2 linked regions of the Diceros bicornis minor genome follow. The protein of the gene in region 1 interacts with the protein of each later gene in a biochemical or structural test. Links are inferred from orthologs where the notes say so. Each region holds a gene or a part of one and is shown on either strand. Other genes may lie near its edges.

The links. The genes of interacting proteins can lie anywhere in the genome.
Region 2: the proteins of EZR (region 1) and ICAM3 form a complex in vitro, tested with the Homo sapiens proteins (2 studies listed by BioGRID). The link is inferred for Diceros bicornis minor from reciprocal best matches to the Homo sapiens genes EZR and ICAM3.

The regions. Positions count from the first base shown.
Region 1 is NC_080778.1:10,869,179-10,877,064, forward strand, and holds the start of EZR (ezrin), read left to right. Parts: upstream 1-4,817; 5' UTR 4,818-4,914; intron 4,915-6,108; 5' UTR 6,109-6,184; coding exon 6,185-6,196; intron 6,197-7,886. UniProt on the Homo sapiens protein: Probably involved in connections of major cytoskeletal structures to the plasma membrane. In epithelial cells, required for the formation of microvilli and membrane ruffles on the apical pole. Along with PLEKHG6, required for normal macropinocytosis.
Region 2 is NC_080769.1:8,854,613-8,862,859, forward strand, and holds the start of ICAM3 (intercellular adhesion molecule 3), read left to right. Parts: upstream 1-4,956; 5' UTR 4,957-5,226; coding exon 5,227-5,305; intron 5,306-5,895; coding exon 5,896-6,159; intron 6,160-8,247. UniProt on the Homo sapiens protein: ICAM proteins are ligands for the leukocyte adhesion protein LFA-1 (integrin alpha-L/beta-2). ICAM3 is also a ligand for integrin alpha-D/beta-2. In association with integrin alpha-L/beta-2, contributes to apoptotic neutrophil phagocytosis by macrophages.

The DNA of each region.
Region 1 (7,886 bases):
AATCCAGCAGACAGCAGTACGGTATACTGGAAAGAAAACTAACCCGGGTACTGTACGCTGGCTTTAGTCCTAACTAGCAGTGTTCATTCATTCGTTTATTCAACAAATATTTATTGAATATCTGCTAGGGCACCAGGCACTGTTCTAGCTGCTGAGGGCATAGAAGTGAACAAGACAGACAGGAGCTTCAATTCTTGTGGGGGAGGTGGAAAATAAAATCGCAAACAGCAAGACTATAGCAGGCAGTGCTAAGAGCTCCACCACAGTAAAATCATGTGACCTGGCCAGGAGTAACCTGGGAGGCAGGAAGTGCTCTCAGAGGAGGTGGTATTTGGGCAAAAACCTGGAAGACTAGAAAAGGCCAGGTAGCAGAGATGGGGGAAGTGCATTCCAGGCAGAGGGAACATCCAGTATGAGATCCCTGAGGCACAGAACAAAAACTCAGACCTGCTGGCGGGAGGGGGGGTGGGGCAGACATAGTCTGATATATTCCGAACTGGGCCTGTTAGGTCTGCTGGATTGGACGCACAAGGGTTGGAGGATGGAGTGCGGTCAAGGGAAAGAGGGGAATTCAGGTTGACTTCTAGGTTTGGGGCCAAGCAACAGGGTGAATGGTGGTTCTGTTTTCTGAGAAGGGGAAGGCTGGGAGGGGAGCAGTTTTCGAAACATCAAGAATCCTGGAGACAACATGTATGCACTTGTTGCTCAAGAGAGGTCACGGCTGGAGATGTTATTTAAGACTTGGGATTGGATGAGATGACCTAGGAAGAGAGTGTACACAGATAAGCACCCAGGAATGAGCTCTGAGCTAAGCCTGCAGTGAGGGTTGGGGGAGGAGAGCTAGCCTCGGAGGAGGAAGCAGGATTGGGGGAGAGGGGAGAAAACAGAAACTCTAAGAACAGAATGTTCCCAGGGAGTGTTACATGTGTCCAAGGCTGCTTAGGAGAAGGGTAAGATGAGGCAGAGAAGGTCAGCTTCCGGATTTAGCAAGATGGAAGTCTCCACTATCTTGACAAGAGAAGTCTGGGTGCAGGGGTGCCGACAACTAATTTAATCTCTGTGGAGCTGTTTCCTCTGCAAAAGGAGGGTATGGGAAAAGATGATGTTTAAGGCCCCATCCTCTACTTCATCATACCACATGCTTTTAAGCCGGCAAAAAAATTTTCAAAAAAACTCCTAAAACGATTAGGGATAAGAAAAATTCTAATAAAAGAAGCTATGCTATTTGGGAGTTTATTAATCAAACAAGTTCTGCGGTCATTAGTACTCTTTTACACAAAAACTATTACGGCTATTTATACAAATTATTAGATAAGCCAAGGAAACAATGAAAATAGAACACCTAGTGGCCGGAATTCTTCTCAGAGGACCAAAGGTATATAAGATGTACCATCAAAATAGTATCAGAATGCTTTTCTACCTTATCGTCCTGTGAAGACCCTTAAAAGTTAATTCTGGACACAAGACAGAGTGGCTGCCGGTCAGGCTGTGCGAGTCCTTATTCATTCCCGTGCTCTGTCACCCACACTGCAGGGACTGGTCACCCCCCCAGAGGTCAGAAAGGAATGTTAAATCATACCAGAGATTTCCAGATTGAGTTCATGGAACTTTATAAGATTACACTAAATGCTTAGTTCTCTTTAACAATCATCTCTGCCAGTGAAAAGCTTACCCAGTGTTACCTCTAAAATACGTATTATAAAATATTTCAGACCCACAAAAACGTACAAAGGATGCTATAAAGGGCACCGTGGGCCACCACTCAGCTTAATAAAACATTACTACCGCTGACGAGGCCCCCATGGAGGCATCATTCTCCCCGTCCTCCAGATAGTCACTGTCCTGAATTTCCACCCAAAGTTAGTGAGTCCTGAAAAATAACCCAAATTCTTGTTTTGCCGAGAGTGTTCTATATTTTTCCCTATTGCCTACTGACTGTACTTTTGAAGTGACTGAGGCTAGAGCTTGTCATACTCTTTGTGAACTTTTATTTATTGGTTGAGATTAACCTGGCACCAGCGTGGAGACAGGCTCCAGCTGATCTGATAGGAAGCGGATGTTCTGTGCGACAGCTCTGGTCCTTGCCGCCGTATCTAAAGGGACTGTGAGGGCTGCCTCACTTTAGTGTACCCTTGCCTGAAAAACTTCAAGCAATTTCCCAACAGCCTTTGCCAGGCTCATGGCAGACATACAATTTCCCTCCTCTAGCTGAAAAACTGAAACCCTGCAGGGGAATAACTTCACACATAAGAAGTGAAGGGAGAGGCAAATTAAGTCATATTTGTCAGGATCCTGCCACACCCTAAGTCAGTGGTTCTCAGATTTTGGTGTAAGTCAGACTCACCTGGGGATTTGTTAAAGACGCAGATCCCAGGGTTAACCTGAGACTTAAGGACCCATGATTCCTAGAGCGGGCTCCATGAGTGAGTCTAATGCACACCAAGGCTTCAGTACCACTGTCCTAAGCAATTCTCATAGGTTCCTTGGAGTTCAGTCTTCTGTGTGTGTGCTGGGGGTGGGGAGGGCTGGGGAGAAGTTTAGGTTCTCAAGTCAGGTGAAAATAAATTACCCTTGGAAAATGCCCTGAAAACACTCCTAAGATACAGTACAAAGGTTTTATTTTTGGGTTGGGGAACCCTGTACAGTAACATGTAAATATAATGCATAAGGCTTACAGTAATGTAAAGCAAATGGGGAAGGCTTATGACTTTATGCTATTTTAACTTAAACAACAAAAGTATACCTATAAATCAAATTTGAGTAAGTTAAACGCTCCCATTATATGACTCAGTGACACAAGAACTCCATACATTATTATCTCCAGTCTACGGCTGAAGAGGCAGGAGCTCAGATGAAGAGACTGGCCCAAAGTGAGGGGCTTGTAGATGCTGGAACCAGAATTCAGACTCAGCTCTGTTCGTTTCTGAAACTTGTGGTCTTTTCATTTTACCACACTGCCGCAGGCCAATTCCTTTTCACCATTCCCCTGAAGGGTAAAGTTCACAAATGCTCCAGGTCTTGGGCCACTGCTATTTCAAAACACCCAATTTAGAAGACAATATACCGTAAAGTGGGTGAGATAAACAATTATGTTAGAGGCACATCCTATCAGCAGAGTTGGGGACCAGAAATGACTAACAAGTCTCCAGGCAGTGATAAGAGGCGGAGATAGAGCAGGCTGGGGTAACATGTCCAGTCTGAACCATTATCACTGCAGGTTATTTAAATATCTTTCATAGTTTCCTTCCTCCTGCAGTTAACTTTACATCTTCATTTTAATAGAAAAGAAAGTCTTTCAGAGGGAACAGACTTGCTGTTGGAATACAGGACAAAATCTCAGAAAAGGCCTCCCTCTTCACCTGGACCTCTAAAATGCCCTGGTCCTGCAGCTGGGAGAGGGTGACAGGTACAAGCTGACAAGGGGTACCCCAGAAGCAGTCTGCCCCCGTGACAGGTTAGGCATTAGTGGGAGGCCCACATTCTGCTAAGCACTTTGCACACATTATCTCACTTAATCCATACAAGTCCATGTCGGGGGGCTACTAGTATCTCCAGTCTACGAATTGGGAAGGTGAGTCTTGGAGAGTTTGGGTCTTTGCCCAAAGTCACTGGTTACTGTCTGTACCAGGAGAGATTCAAGTGCTTACTGTGTGCCAGGCTCTGCTCTAGGCATCTCACATGCATTAATTCCTCTAATCCTCATAACAACCCTAGGAAATAGGTGCCATAATTATGCCATTTTACAGATGTGAAAACGAAAGCACAAAGGAGTTAATAACGCGCTCAACTCACATGGGGAGTTAGTGGCCAGCCCAGGAAAGGAATTCCGGAGAAGCTCTGGTCTCAACCCTTAGCCTACATCACAATCCCCTGGAGGGCTTGAAGATAGACTGCTGGGCCCCAGCCCTACAGATTCTGAGCCCTAGGTTTGGGGCGGTCCCCTTGAATTTCCATTTCCGCCAGTTCTCAGGTGATGCTCACGATGCTAGTGTGCGAAGCACGCTTAGAGAACCACCGCTCTGGAGCTGGCTCACCGAATCACTGCGCCACAAATGCGCCTGGCCACCAAAGTCCATGTGTTTTGTGTGTTTTTTAAAATTCCTCTTGAGATCCATTTGCAAAAAATATTAAAAACAATTCCTAGAATTTCTCCCTATGGCGATTTCTGCTATAGCTTTGTGCTAGTCAAGTCAAAGGAGGCCACAGCTGTGTCCTTTAACCAGAGCGTTCGGCGATGGAGCGTCTTCTAGGCTTGTGTCCTTCTCGACCCAATCCGAACGCGGAGGCCGGCCGGCCACGTGCGCCGAGACGCAGAGGCCAGGTACGGCCGCCCCAGGCCCGGGGTTCTCAGAACCCGCCCCGGTCGCGGCGCAAGGACAAGCAAATGACCTGACCACGGGGAGCAGCCCCACCCCAAAATGGCCCAGCATCTCCCCTCTGGCCGCCTGCTCCTCCAGGTTTATTTACATTTTCTTGCTTTCTCTCTGTCCACTGTGGGGCAAATAATCTGACGTCTTACATCTGCAATCAGGAGTTGAACCAAATTCGGCAAAGTTTTTCTCCAAGGGCAAGGGAACAGGCAGAGAAGAGGGAAGGGTCTTCACGATGGAGAGAGACGGCGGGGCGGGAGGGAGGCGGAGGACGCCCCCGCCCGGGTCTCCAAGGCCCTCAGGGGCGCCCTCCTGGGCGGGGCGGGGGGCGCCCGGCGGGGCGGGTGGGAGGCGGGAGAGCCCCTGGGCGGCCAGCGGCCGCAGCCATTTTGCGCGCCGGGCGCACCTCGCAGGTCGGGCGGGGCGGTTAGGGGCGCGGCCCCGGGACCCCGCCCCGCCGGGGACTCTTGGGAGCGCGGGCCGCGGGCGCACTGCGCGGACACGCCGACAGCGGGAGAGCAGCCGTCCTCTGCAGGCGCCGCCGGTGAGCCCGGCGCGTGGCCGGGGTTGGCGGGCGGAGGGGTCGGGCCGGGGTTGGGGGGGCGCGCCCCGCAGAGGGGACAGTGGCCGGGACTCGACGACAGGTGTGGCGGGGCCGGTCTGGCGGAGGGGCGGCCCGCGCGCAAGCCCCGGGCCGGCGGTCCCCGAGGGGAATCGGGCTCGCCCCTCCGCCGGCCGCGTTCGGGGTCTCGGGCCGGTGGGGTCCTCGCCTGGCCCTCCGGGCATGGCTCTCCCGTTCGGCCCAAAGAAACAGCAGGTGAAGCTGAACCTGCTGGTGTGGCCGCCCCCGCTGCTCCGCGACCTTCCTCTTTCCACTCTGTGCCCTGGAGTCCCCCTTCCAAAGTGCCAGCGGAGCCTGGGCTGCGTGGCCGCGCCCCTGCCCGCGCCCTCGTGCTTCGCTTGGCCCCGCGGTCCTCGGCCCTTCCCGGGCGGGGCCGGTTTTCTTCAAGTGTTTCTCAAAGGCTTGACGGTTGCGGTTTCAGCCCTGGGGCAAACGGTTGCTTCACAAAGTGAAACTTGCTGTTTGCTGGGCTCCCCGCTGGCTTCCGGGAAGCCCCGAGAAGTACCTCTGGGGACCCCCGCCCCGCCGCTTCCCAGTCCGGGAGCCGGCCCCCGCCCCGGCGCCCGGGTCCCCCGACCCCTCCCCGCCGGGATCCGCGCCGCCCGCCCCGGCACCCTCCCCGCCAAGCCCCCTTCCTGGCGCCGAGGCCCCCCGCCCGGGCCCTACATCCCTATGCGCGCGCGCGCGCGCAACCCTCCCCACCGGCTCCCTCCCCCCAGGTCCCCTCCGGCTGGGTCCATCCCCCCGGGTTCCCGGGCCCCCTCCGGCCGGCCCCCTCCCCCCGGGACCCCGGGACCCCGCGCCCCCTCCGGCTGGGTCCCTCCCCCCGGGACCCCGAGCCCCGTGCTGGCCAGGTCCAGCCCCCTCCTCACCGGGTCTCTCCCCGCCGCCCCCTCCCCCTCCCCCCCTCCCCCCCCGGGCCCCCGCCCCCGCCCCCTCCCCGCAGGGCCCGCCCGCCCGGCCTGCGGTAATTGCAGGTTGGGCGGTGACTCATCCCGGCGCCCGCCCGGCGGGTTCTTAAGCAGCGGCGCGGGGCGGGCGGCGAGTCTCGGGGCGCGGCGGCGGGCGCGGGAGGAGGGCTGCTGCGCGCTCTAAAGGGCTTCCCTCTGCCTCCAGGTCGGGAGAACCGTCTCAGCTGCTGCTCGAGAGTAGTGTTTCCAGGGGATTGAGGAAAACCCATCAGGAACCGAAAATGCCGAAACCAGTAAGTAACCCAGTTTCTGGGCTGGGGCGGAGGCTTCGAGCTGTATTTTCAATTGGAGGCACCTGGGCGAGGTGTTGGGGCAGGGTTTTTTAAACGGATAAGAGGGCAGGAGTAGGGAATTGTCTCTCCTCTTTGTTGTGTGTTGGTCCTTTTAGGGACCTCCTGAAGAAAACACGATTTTGATGCTTTTCTCTACAGTCTTTTTGTTTGCGAGCTCCGCCCCCCAGGAGTTACGGTCTTTTATACAAGTTAGAATCCCCTTTTACACCGCTTCAGTCTGTTTCAAAGTGTATTCTAATGCAACTTGGAAGTTGCTTAGAAAGAAAAGTTGTCTAAATCGCAGGAGAGTTGAGTGACGTCCGACGGCGCACACCAACTCCGAGTCCCTCCGAGTCCGGAGCCAGATGCACCCCAAATCTTCTTTTGGCGCCCCCAAGGGCATCTGGCAGAGGAGACGCTGTCTTTCTGGCGGGCAGCCCCGTTCCAGTGCATTGCACGCCGGCGCAGCCTGTGGAGCTGTGCTCTGTTCGCCCGGAATTTGCTGGTGGCAGCAGGATTCCTATCTGAAAGAGTTTAGTAATGGACTTGAATTGCAGATGAGGGCAGGCAGCCCCGGAGTTTGATAAGGAGGCTCCCTGGGCCCTCTCTGGTCTTGCACTCCTGGTAAATGTCATAAACATCAGCTGATGTCAGGGCTGCCGTGCCCGCACCTCTGTGCCCCGGAATCTGATTTTGTTGCGTTCTCTGCGAGTTGGCTAGCCAGGCCTGGGGTGTTAGGCTTTCGCTTAAGTTATGGGACCGAGGCAGGTTCTTTGTGACGGGCGTTTCTTAGGAAGTAGTATATATTCTGCCTGCTTTAACGCAGGTAAACTGGTGACCAGATACTGGGGAGGAGGGTTTAAATTTTAATCGAGTTTTGAATCACGGTGGAGAAAATGTCTGGGTTCATTAAAAATTGCAATAAAAGATACATATGGAATAGTTTTTGAAACAGATTGGTTCTGTAGTGGATGCTGTATGTGCTTTTCTACCGTTAAATGTTAGATTCTCTAAAATGAGTTCTTTATTAATAAAGTCTTATTTTGTTGTTTAAGTAAGTAAATTACTATGTTAATATACTAAAAGATTGAGAAGCTAGTATAGTTTTTGCCTAAATTATTTCATCAAGATGATTCATTCGTGATGCAGAAAATTTTTTTTCCTACACAAAATTCTTTTAGTTTCGAACTTGCAATCGGTCCGTGACATCCGGGCTTTACAATCCCTATGATATAAAACTGACCTAAATACAGCCGCTTACTTGGGGCACAGCCCTGAGCAGTTATGCAGAGCAGTGGTCAAGAGATTACCATTTCCTGGTGTGGTTTTCTTTATTTCACGAAAAGATGCAGAGTTCAGATTTTAGCGTATCACTTAGAAGAAAAGAGTTAATAAACCAGTTTCCAGTCAGTACTTTTCTCTCTCATTTCTCATGATGAACTGTAATTTCTTTTCTTTTTCTGGTTTCCTTTTTTTATTGTAGTAAAATATACGTAACATTCAATTTGCCATCTTAACTATTTTTAACTGTACAGTTCAGTGGCACTAAGTACATTCACATTGTTGTGCAAGTGTCACCACCATCCATCTCCAGAACTTACCCAAACTGAAACTCTGTCCACATTAAACACTAACTCCTCATTTCTCCTTC
Region 2 (8,247 bases), on another chromosome or scaffold:
GCTGAAGTGTTTCTCCTTACCAGTTGTACTAGAGACGGGCTATGTGTTAGCCATGTTGTGAAAGGCACGGGCTATGTGTTAGCCGTGTTGTGAAAGGCAGTTAAATAATTTCCTTTTTCATAAGCCTTCTCGAAATCTTGCTCATTGCCAGCTCTCCTGACCAGACAGTTCCACACTATTCTAGTGACATTTGCTTTTTATAACAGTTTTCAAAATTAAATATTCATTATAATTATAAATCTTTGTTTTGTTTTGTTTTGTTTTTTGCTGAGGAAGATTGGCCCTGGGCTAACATCTGTCCCCATCTTCGTCTACTTTATATGTGGACGCCTGCCACAGCATGGCTCGATAAGCGGTGTGTGGGTCTGTGCCCAGGATCCGAACCTGCAAACACCAGGCCACTGAAGCAGAGCACATGAGGTTAACCACTATGCCACCAGGCCGGCCTCAATCCTCCTCTTTTTTTGCTTGAGGAAGATTAGCCCTGAGCTAACGTCTGTACCAATCTTCCTCTATTTTGTATATGGGACGCCACCACAACATGGCTGACAAGTAGGTCTGGCCCCGGGATCCAAACCCCAGAACCCAGGCCGCCGAAGCAGAGGGTACTGAACTTAACCACTAGGCCACGAGGCTGGCCCATGGATACATATTATTGACTTAGGCAGTGAAAGTCTCTCGCTGTGCATCAGCCACTACTGTCGCCTCTGGTTTCCTGTTTTTGTTTCCAGAGACATTTTACCCAGATAAAAGGAAATCTGTACACATTATACTTTCCCATCTTTTGCAAAAATAGTAACATGTCCTACTATATAGAGCTCTCATCTATATCCTTGTGATTTATTTTTTCCATGTAATAGGTCTTGGAGATGGTCCCACATATCCAGGCAAACAGTTTTCTTGTTCTATTTTATGATTTCATTGTAGTCATCGCTGACGTGTTATCTGCCTTTATTCCCCGCTGGGGTTCCTGTTGTCATTTCTAATCCTTTGCCAGGCCCAGGATGGTGCTGTAGTGAGTAACCACATGCGGACATCATTTCACCCACGTTCAAGGGTATCTGTAGGACAAATTCTTAACAGGAGGGGCCGGCCCTGTGGCTTAGAGGTTAAGTGCGTGCGCTCCGCTGCTGGCGGCCCAGGTTCGGATCCTGGGTGCGCACCGACGCGCCGCTTCTCCGGCCATGCTGAGGCCGCGTCCCACATACAGCAACTAGAAGGATGTGCAGCTATGACATGCAACTATCTACTGGGGCTTTGGGGGAAAAAAAAAAAAGGAGGAGGATTGGCAATAGATGTTAGCTCAGAGCCGGTCTTCCTCAGCAAAAAGAGGAGGATTAGCACGGATGTTAGCTCAGGGCTGATCTTCCTCATAAAAAAAAAAAAATTCTCAATGGGAATGGCATTTAGGATCTTGTCTGGTAACCGGGAAAATACACTGCCCCTAGAATATGTTTTGATATTTGATAAGGCAGTTCTCTCTCTCTCTCTTTTTTTTCCCCAAAGTTATCTTGGCTTACCCTTGTGCAGCTACTTTTTATTTATTTATTTATTTATTTTGTGAGGAAGATCAGCCGTGAGCTAACATCCATGCTAATCCTCCTCTTTTTGCTGAGGAAGACTGGCCTGGGCTAACATCTATTGCCAATCCTCCTCCTTTTTCTCCCTTTTTCCTCTCTAAAGCCCCAGTAGATAGTTGTATGTCATAGCTGCACATCCTTCTAGTTGCTGTATGTGGGACGTGGCCTCAGCATGGCCGGAGAAGCGGTGCGTTGGTGCGCGCCCGGGATCCGAACCCGGGCCGCTAGCAGCGGAGCGCGCGCACTTAACCGCTAAGCCATGGGGCCGGCCTCAATTACGGACAATTTAAAGCATATACAAAAGAAGGGAAAATAATGTAATGAACCTGTGCTTACCCAACAGGCGGCATCAAGTTTGCAACACCCGTGGCCAGTCTTGTTTCAACTCTCCCCCACCCCCGCCCCGCCACGAGGTCATTTTGAAGCAAATCTCAGATATATCATTTTGTCAAAACTTCCATCAGTATCTCGAAAAGATGTAACCACAAACAGTAACTACAAAATCATGACCGCCCACAGAAAGTTGAATGATAATTCCTCAACATCATCGTGCAGCCTCAGTTTCAATTTCCCCAATTGTCTCTTAAATATTTGGTGTGTGTTTGTTTAGAGTTTGTTCAAAGAAATATCCAGGTCCGGCCTGTGGCTTAGCGGTTAAGTGCGCGTGCTCTGCTACTGGCGGCCCGGGTTCGGATCCCGGGCGTGCACCGACGCACCGCTTCTCCAGCCATGCTGAGGCGGCGTCCCACATACAGCAACTAGAAGGATGTGCAACTATGACATACAACTATCTACTGGGGCTTTGGGGAAAAAAAAGGAGGAGGATTGGCAATAGATGTTAGCTCAGGGCCAGTCTTCCTCAGCAAAAAGAGGAGGATTGGCATGGATGTTAGCTCACGGCTGATCTTCCTCACAAAAAAAAAAAAAGAAAGAAATATCCAGACGATCCACGCACTGCATTTGGCGGAGGGCGGGTTCCTTTAAGTTCTGGATTCGTCTTCCTCTTTTTTTTCCTCCTTGCAACATCCTTGTTGAAGAAACTAGGTTGTTTGTTCCATAGACTTTTCCGCTGTGGCGTCATCTTTGTGGTCGACTTGAATGCATTCCTCTGTCCTCACCTTGACCCACCAATGGTCAAGTTCAATTTCCATTTTTTGGCAAGACTCACAGAGGGCACTGTGCCCTCTCCGCAGGAGACACTCAGGGTCAGCTTGTCCCTCCTGTTGTGACATGAACAGCCACCCAGATCCATCAGGGATGCATTTTATTTTCCAACATTTTACTCTGAAAAATTGCCAACATATAGAAAAGTTGGGAGAATAGTACAGCAAACATCTCTAAATTCCACCATCACCCAGTTGCTAAATTTACCTTATTATGCGGTATCTGTCATTTCTCTGCCATCCATCAATCCATCTCATATTTTGGATACAAATCAAAATAGGTGGATGTCATTTTTTTCCTGTGGTGAAATATACATAATATACATTTTACCATTTTGACTATTTTTAAGTGTATGATTCAGTGGCATTAAAAACATTCACAATGTGTGTAATCAATACTATTATTTACAGAACTTTTTCATCTTCCCAAACAAAAATTTGTCCCCACTGGACACTAACTTCTCATTCCCCTCTCCTCTCAGCCCCTGGTAACAACTGTCTACTTTCTCTAGGAATTTGCTATTCTAGTGTCTTCATTTGAGTAGAATATTTGTCCTTTTGTGTCTGGCTTATTTCGCTGAGCATGATGTTCTCAAGGTTCATCCATGTTGTAGCACGTGTCAGAATTTCATTTCTTTTTAAGGGTGAATGGATGGACCACTTTTTTTCTGTTGTTTTTTTTTTTGACAGCAGCCATCCTAATAGGTGTGAAGAGCGATCTCACGTGGTCTTAATTTGCATTTTCCTAATGGCTATGTTACCGCACAAAATTGGGGTCCTCTTGCCCGAAGCACATCAAGAGGCAATTACTGAGGCATCAGCTTTGGGAAAAAGACACCAGCTTTATTGCTAGGTTGATCTGCAAGGAGACAGGGGCCTGTGTTCTCAGATCTGTCTCCCCAATCCAGGGCTTGGGGCACAATTCATGGGATGAAGGGCGGGGCTGTCTGAAGCGCAGAGATAGATGGTTGGAGGAGAGCAGAGGTGAGGTAACTGATGATCTGCGCAAGCGCGGTCAAGCTCCGTGGCTCTTCATGTTCACAAAATAGTGGCGGTAGCATGATCTGAGCGTGGAGTTTTCAGCCCTTGGACGTCAAAAGGGTCACCTATGGGTCATCCTTGCAAGCCCAGTTGATGAGCTGGTGGTCTTCACCAGCCTGAACTGCACAAGGGGTCTCAGGTCCTGAAAAACCACTCTCAATTACTCTTGATGAGATGGGGTCAGTTGAACTGGTCCTGGAGGGCCTGTGGTTACAGCTAGTGAGGTTGAGCATCTTTTCGTGTGTTTATTGGCCATTTGTACAGCTTCCTTGGAGACATGTCTATTCGAGTCCTTTGTTCGTTTTTGAATCGGGTTGTTTTGTTGTTATTGACTTGTAAGAATTTCTTTATAATCTGGATATAAGCCTTTATCAGATATATTATTTACAAATACTTTGGATTTGGGTTTTAGTTGCTCTCTCAGCACCGTGCAGGAAATGGACTGGGGGGCCAGGCAGTTGACTGGAGGGGGGAGGTGCCCCAGGTGAGGCAGGAGGGGGCGTGGCCTCAGGGATGGGGAGAGTGGATGAACGCCGGGTGTTATCGACGCCCTCCACAAGGTCCCTCTCTGGAGCTCAGATCAGAGGCACAGGAGGCGGGTCAGAGGCCTGAGAGATGGAAGTGGGAGTGCCCACCTGACCCCCCAGTCCCTTCTCTTGGGATGAAAGGACCAGCTGCCCAGAGGGGAAGGCAAGGGAGGATGAGACAGGGGACAGGGCCAGTTACAAGTAGCATCCTTGACAGACAGTGGTTCAGATTTCAGCTGTCTCCCTGCCTCAGCACTGCACACGGGGCATGGGCGGCCCCAAGATCTTCAAAGGGAAAGGGCCTACAGGAGCCACTCAGGTGGTCAACACAGAGCTGGGCACCCAGTAAATGTGGGCGCTGTTCATTTTCATGGCTTCCCTCATCTTACGGGTCCCTCATTATCATCCCCAGATCTCTTAATTGCCCCCCAGGAATGTTGAGATCTCATGCTAACCCCTTGAGGCCCTACCTAGAAGTCCCTTCATTTCCCCCTGAAATGTTGCCTTGAAATCTCATCTTATCACCTCCAGGACAGTGCTTGGAGGTCCCCCATAAGTTCAGCTGGAAGGAGGTGTCTCATCTCCCTCCACGGCCCCCCCAGGCTTCGTAGTTCTGAGAACAAAGGAAGTTGATTGTGTTCCACTTCCTGTGAGTTCATTTCTGGACCAGCAGTGTAACTGACGTCTGCCCTGCCAGAGACTCACCAGCACCCTCCACCTTGCTGGGCCCTACCTAGGTCCCCCACTCTGGACCCCCGGGGTCACAGAGTATCCCCCTGCCCCTCCCCAGGCCTGAGCAAGGGGCAGCCCCTGGACTTCTGCAATCCTCACCACTGTGGCTGCACTTCCGTCCCCTGGGCGGCTCCGCCTGTTCCCTGCTGCCAGACGCCTTCCTCCCGCAGGCTGGCTACTGTGATGCCCTCAGGGCGACTGCCTGGGGCCTGCTGGATGTCGCTCGTCTTCCTGCTTCTCATCGGCTGTCTGCTGCCCGCAGGTGAGGAGAGTCAAGCTGGGGAAGGCTGGAGTCGGGAGGTCAGTAGAGAGAGGGTAAGAGAACAGAGAAAGCAAAGCTCTCCACTTCCTGTGCCCTGGCCATCTCGAGGACTTCCTGAAACTCAGATCCGACAGGGGCTCGAGAGAAAGTTGTGTCTCCTTAACGCAGCCTCCAGGGCTCCCCGAGGCGCCATCCCTGCATGTAACTTGTTCCCTACCCCCAACACACACACACACACACACACACTCTCCCAGCTCCATGTAGCCCCTCGATGTGTGCCTATGCTCTTCCCTCTGCCAAGACCTTGCTTCCCTTTCATTTAGCTAACGCCTACTTATCCTTCAAAACTGGCCATGGTCGTCCCCTCCTCCAGGAAGCCTTCCCTGACTCACTCCCTCCTGTAGTTTGGATCAGGGTTTCCTTGGCCTTCCTCCAAACTCTCCCCAGTTCCTGATCCATCATCCGTCTTCCCCACTAGACTAACGCACCCTGAAGGCGGGGACCATTATACCTGGGCATGAGGTGGGACCTGAGGATGGGGGGTTGGGGGGCACCAGAACAATCACGAGAGTTTCTGTCTCTTCCCGCAGGTGTCCATGGGCAGTACTCACTGCGATTTGAGCCCCAGGACCTAGTGGTACCTGATGGAGGGTCCATCTCGGTAAACTGTAGTACAGATTGTCCCCATCCTCAATCCTTCCATCTGGAGACCTTCTTACCCAAGAAGTCGCTGGGTCAGGGCTCGCGCTGGGCAGCCTTCCAGCTCAGCAATGTAACCAATGACAGCCAGATCCTCTGCTCCAGCTTCTGCTACAGCTTCCAGCTGTCAACCTCTTCTAACATCACAGTGTACCGTGAGTGGACGTGCCTGGAGGGAGGAATGGCCTTGGGTGGTGGCGGGGGGGTGGGTAGATGGCCAGTGGTGCAGGGGGAGCAGAGGCCTGGAGTTTGCAGGAATGGACCAGGGCTCTGACCCAGAGCCTGGACCTGGATATGTGTGTGTGTGTGTGACAGACAGAGGTAGAGACAGAGACACAGAGAGATACACCTCAACTGTATGTCAGGCCAGCAGCTGTGACATCAATTTATTTGGGTCCTAGCAAGCATTTTTAAAATGACATCTCTTGGGCCGGCCCTGTGGCTTAGTGGTTAAGTGCGCGCGCTCCGCTACTGGCGGCCCGGGCTCGGATCCCGGGCGCGCACCGACGCACCGCTTCTCCGGCCGTGCTGAGGCCGCGTCCCACATACAGCAACTAGAAGGATGTGCAGCTATGACATACAACTATCTGCTGGTGCTTTGGGGGAAAAAAAAGGAGGAGGATTGGCAATAGATGTTAGCTCAGAGCCGGTCTTCCTCAGCAAAAAGAGGAGGATTAGCATGGATGTTAGCTCAGGGCTGATCTCCCTCACACACACACACACAAAAATGACATCTCGCATCTTCTAGTTATTACTTTTACTTTTATGGCAGGTAATCAATTCATGTGGTTCCAAAATCAAAACAGCATAAAAAGCTGTAAATTTCAAGCCTCCATTTGTATAGCGCTGGCTGCCAGCAGCTGCTGTTTTATTTTTCTTCGTGAGGAAGATTAGCCCTGAGCTAACATCTGCCAATCCTCCCCGTCTATTCTTGAGGAACACTGACCCTGGGCTAAACCATCCATGCCCATCTTCCTCCCCTTCATACAGGAGGCCGCCTCAGCGTGGCCTAACAAGCTGTGCGTCGGTGCACGCCCGGGATCCGAACCCCGGCTGCCAGCAGCGGAGCGAGTGCACTTAACTGCTACGCCATGGGGCTGGCCCCTGTGGCTACTGTTTTAAATGTTGACTTATTCACTCCTTACAACAGCCCCGGGGTGGGGAGGTTCTCTTATGAGCCTCATTGCAGATATGGAGACCGAGGCTCGGGGGGTCAAGTCACGTGCCAGCGCTCACAGCCCACGAGCAGAGCAGCTGGCAGTCTGGTTCGCAAATCCCTGTCTGTAACAGGCTAGGTCTTCCTCTCCAGACTCTGCGTCCCCCTGTTACTGGTTTCTTATGGATCCTTCCAGACTTCCTCTGCATTTAAAAGAATACAACAGGGCCGCCCCGTGGCTTAGCGGTTAGGTGCGCGCGCTCCGCTGCTGGCGGCCCGGGTTCGGAACCCCGGGCGCGCACCGACGCACCACTTCTCCCGCCATGCTGAGGCCGCGTCCCACATACAGCAACTAGAAGGATGTGCAGCTGTGACACAACTATCTACTGGGGCTTTGGGGGAAAAAGAAGAGGAGGATTGGCAATAGATGTTAGCTCAGAGCTGGTCTTCCTCAGCAAAAAGAGGAGGATTAGCACGGATGTTAGCTCAGGGCTGAGCTTCCTCACACACACACACAAAAAAAACACATTAAAAGAATACAATAGACTAGGAAATAGCAGAGAACACGGTGCCTACTGTTTTGGGAAGCCTTGAGATTAAGTGTAGTGTACGTGTGTAATCGCGTAGGCTCCTGTGTGTGCGCTGGTATATTTGTGCTTGTGTACTTACGTGTGTGTCCGCGAGTGTATGTGTCTGTGTGAGTGTACGTGTGTCTGTATATGTGTTGTGTCTGTATGTTTGTGTGTGCCTGTGTTTGTATCTGTGAATGCCTATGAACTTATGTGTGTGTCTGTGTGAGTTACTGTGTCAATATCTGTGTCTGTGTATGAGCATATGTGGATGTCTGTGTCAGTACGTGTCTATGTATGTCTTTGTATCCGTGTGTATTTCTTTGTAACGTGTACATCTGCCTGTGTGTACCTGCGTGTCTATGTGTGTGTCTGTGTGTCCCTGTCTCTGCGTGTCTGAGATGCCTCTGTCTGTGCTCTGCGGGAGCCTGTTGGTCCTGGCTCATAAGACCCCACTGTGCTTATCTATTCCCAACTCCGTGTCACACTGGGTAGCTTGAAATCCGCCAGAGTGGGAG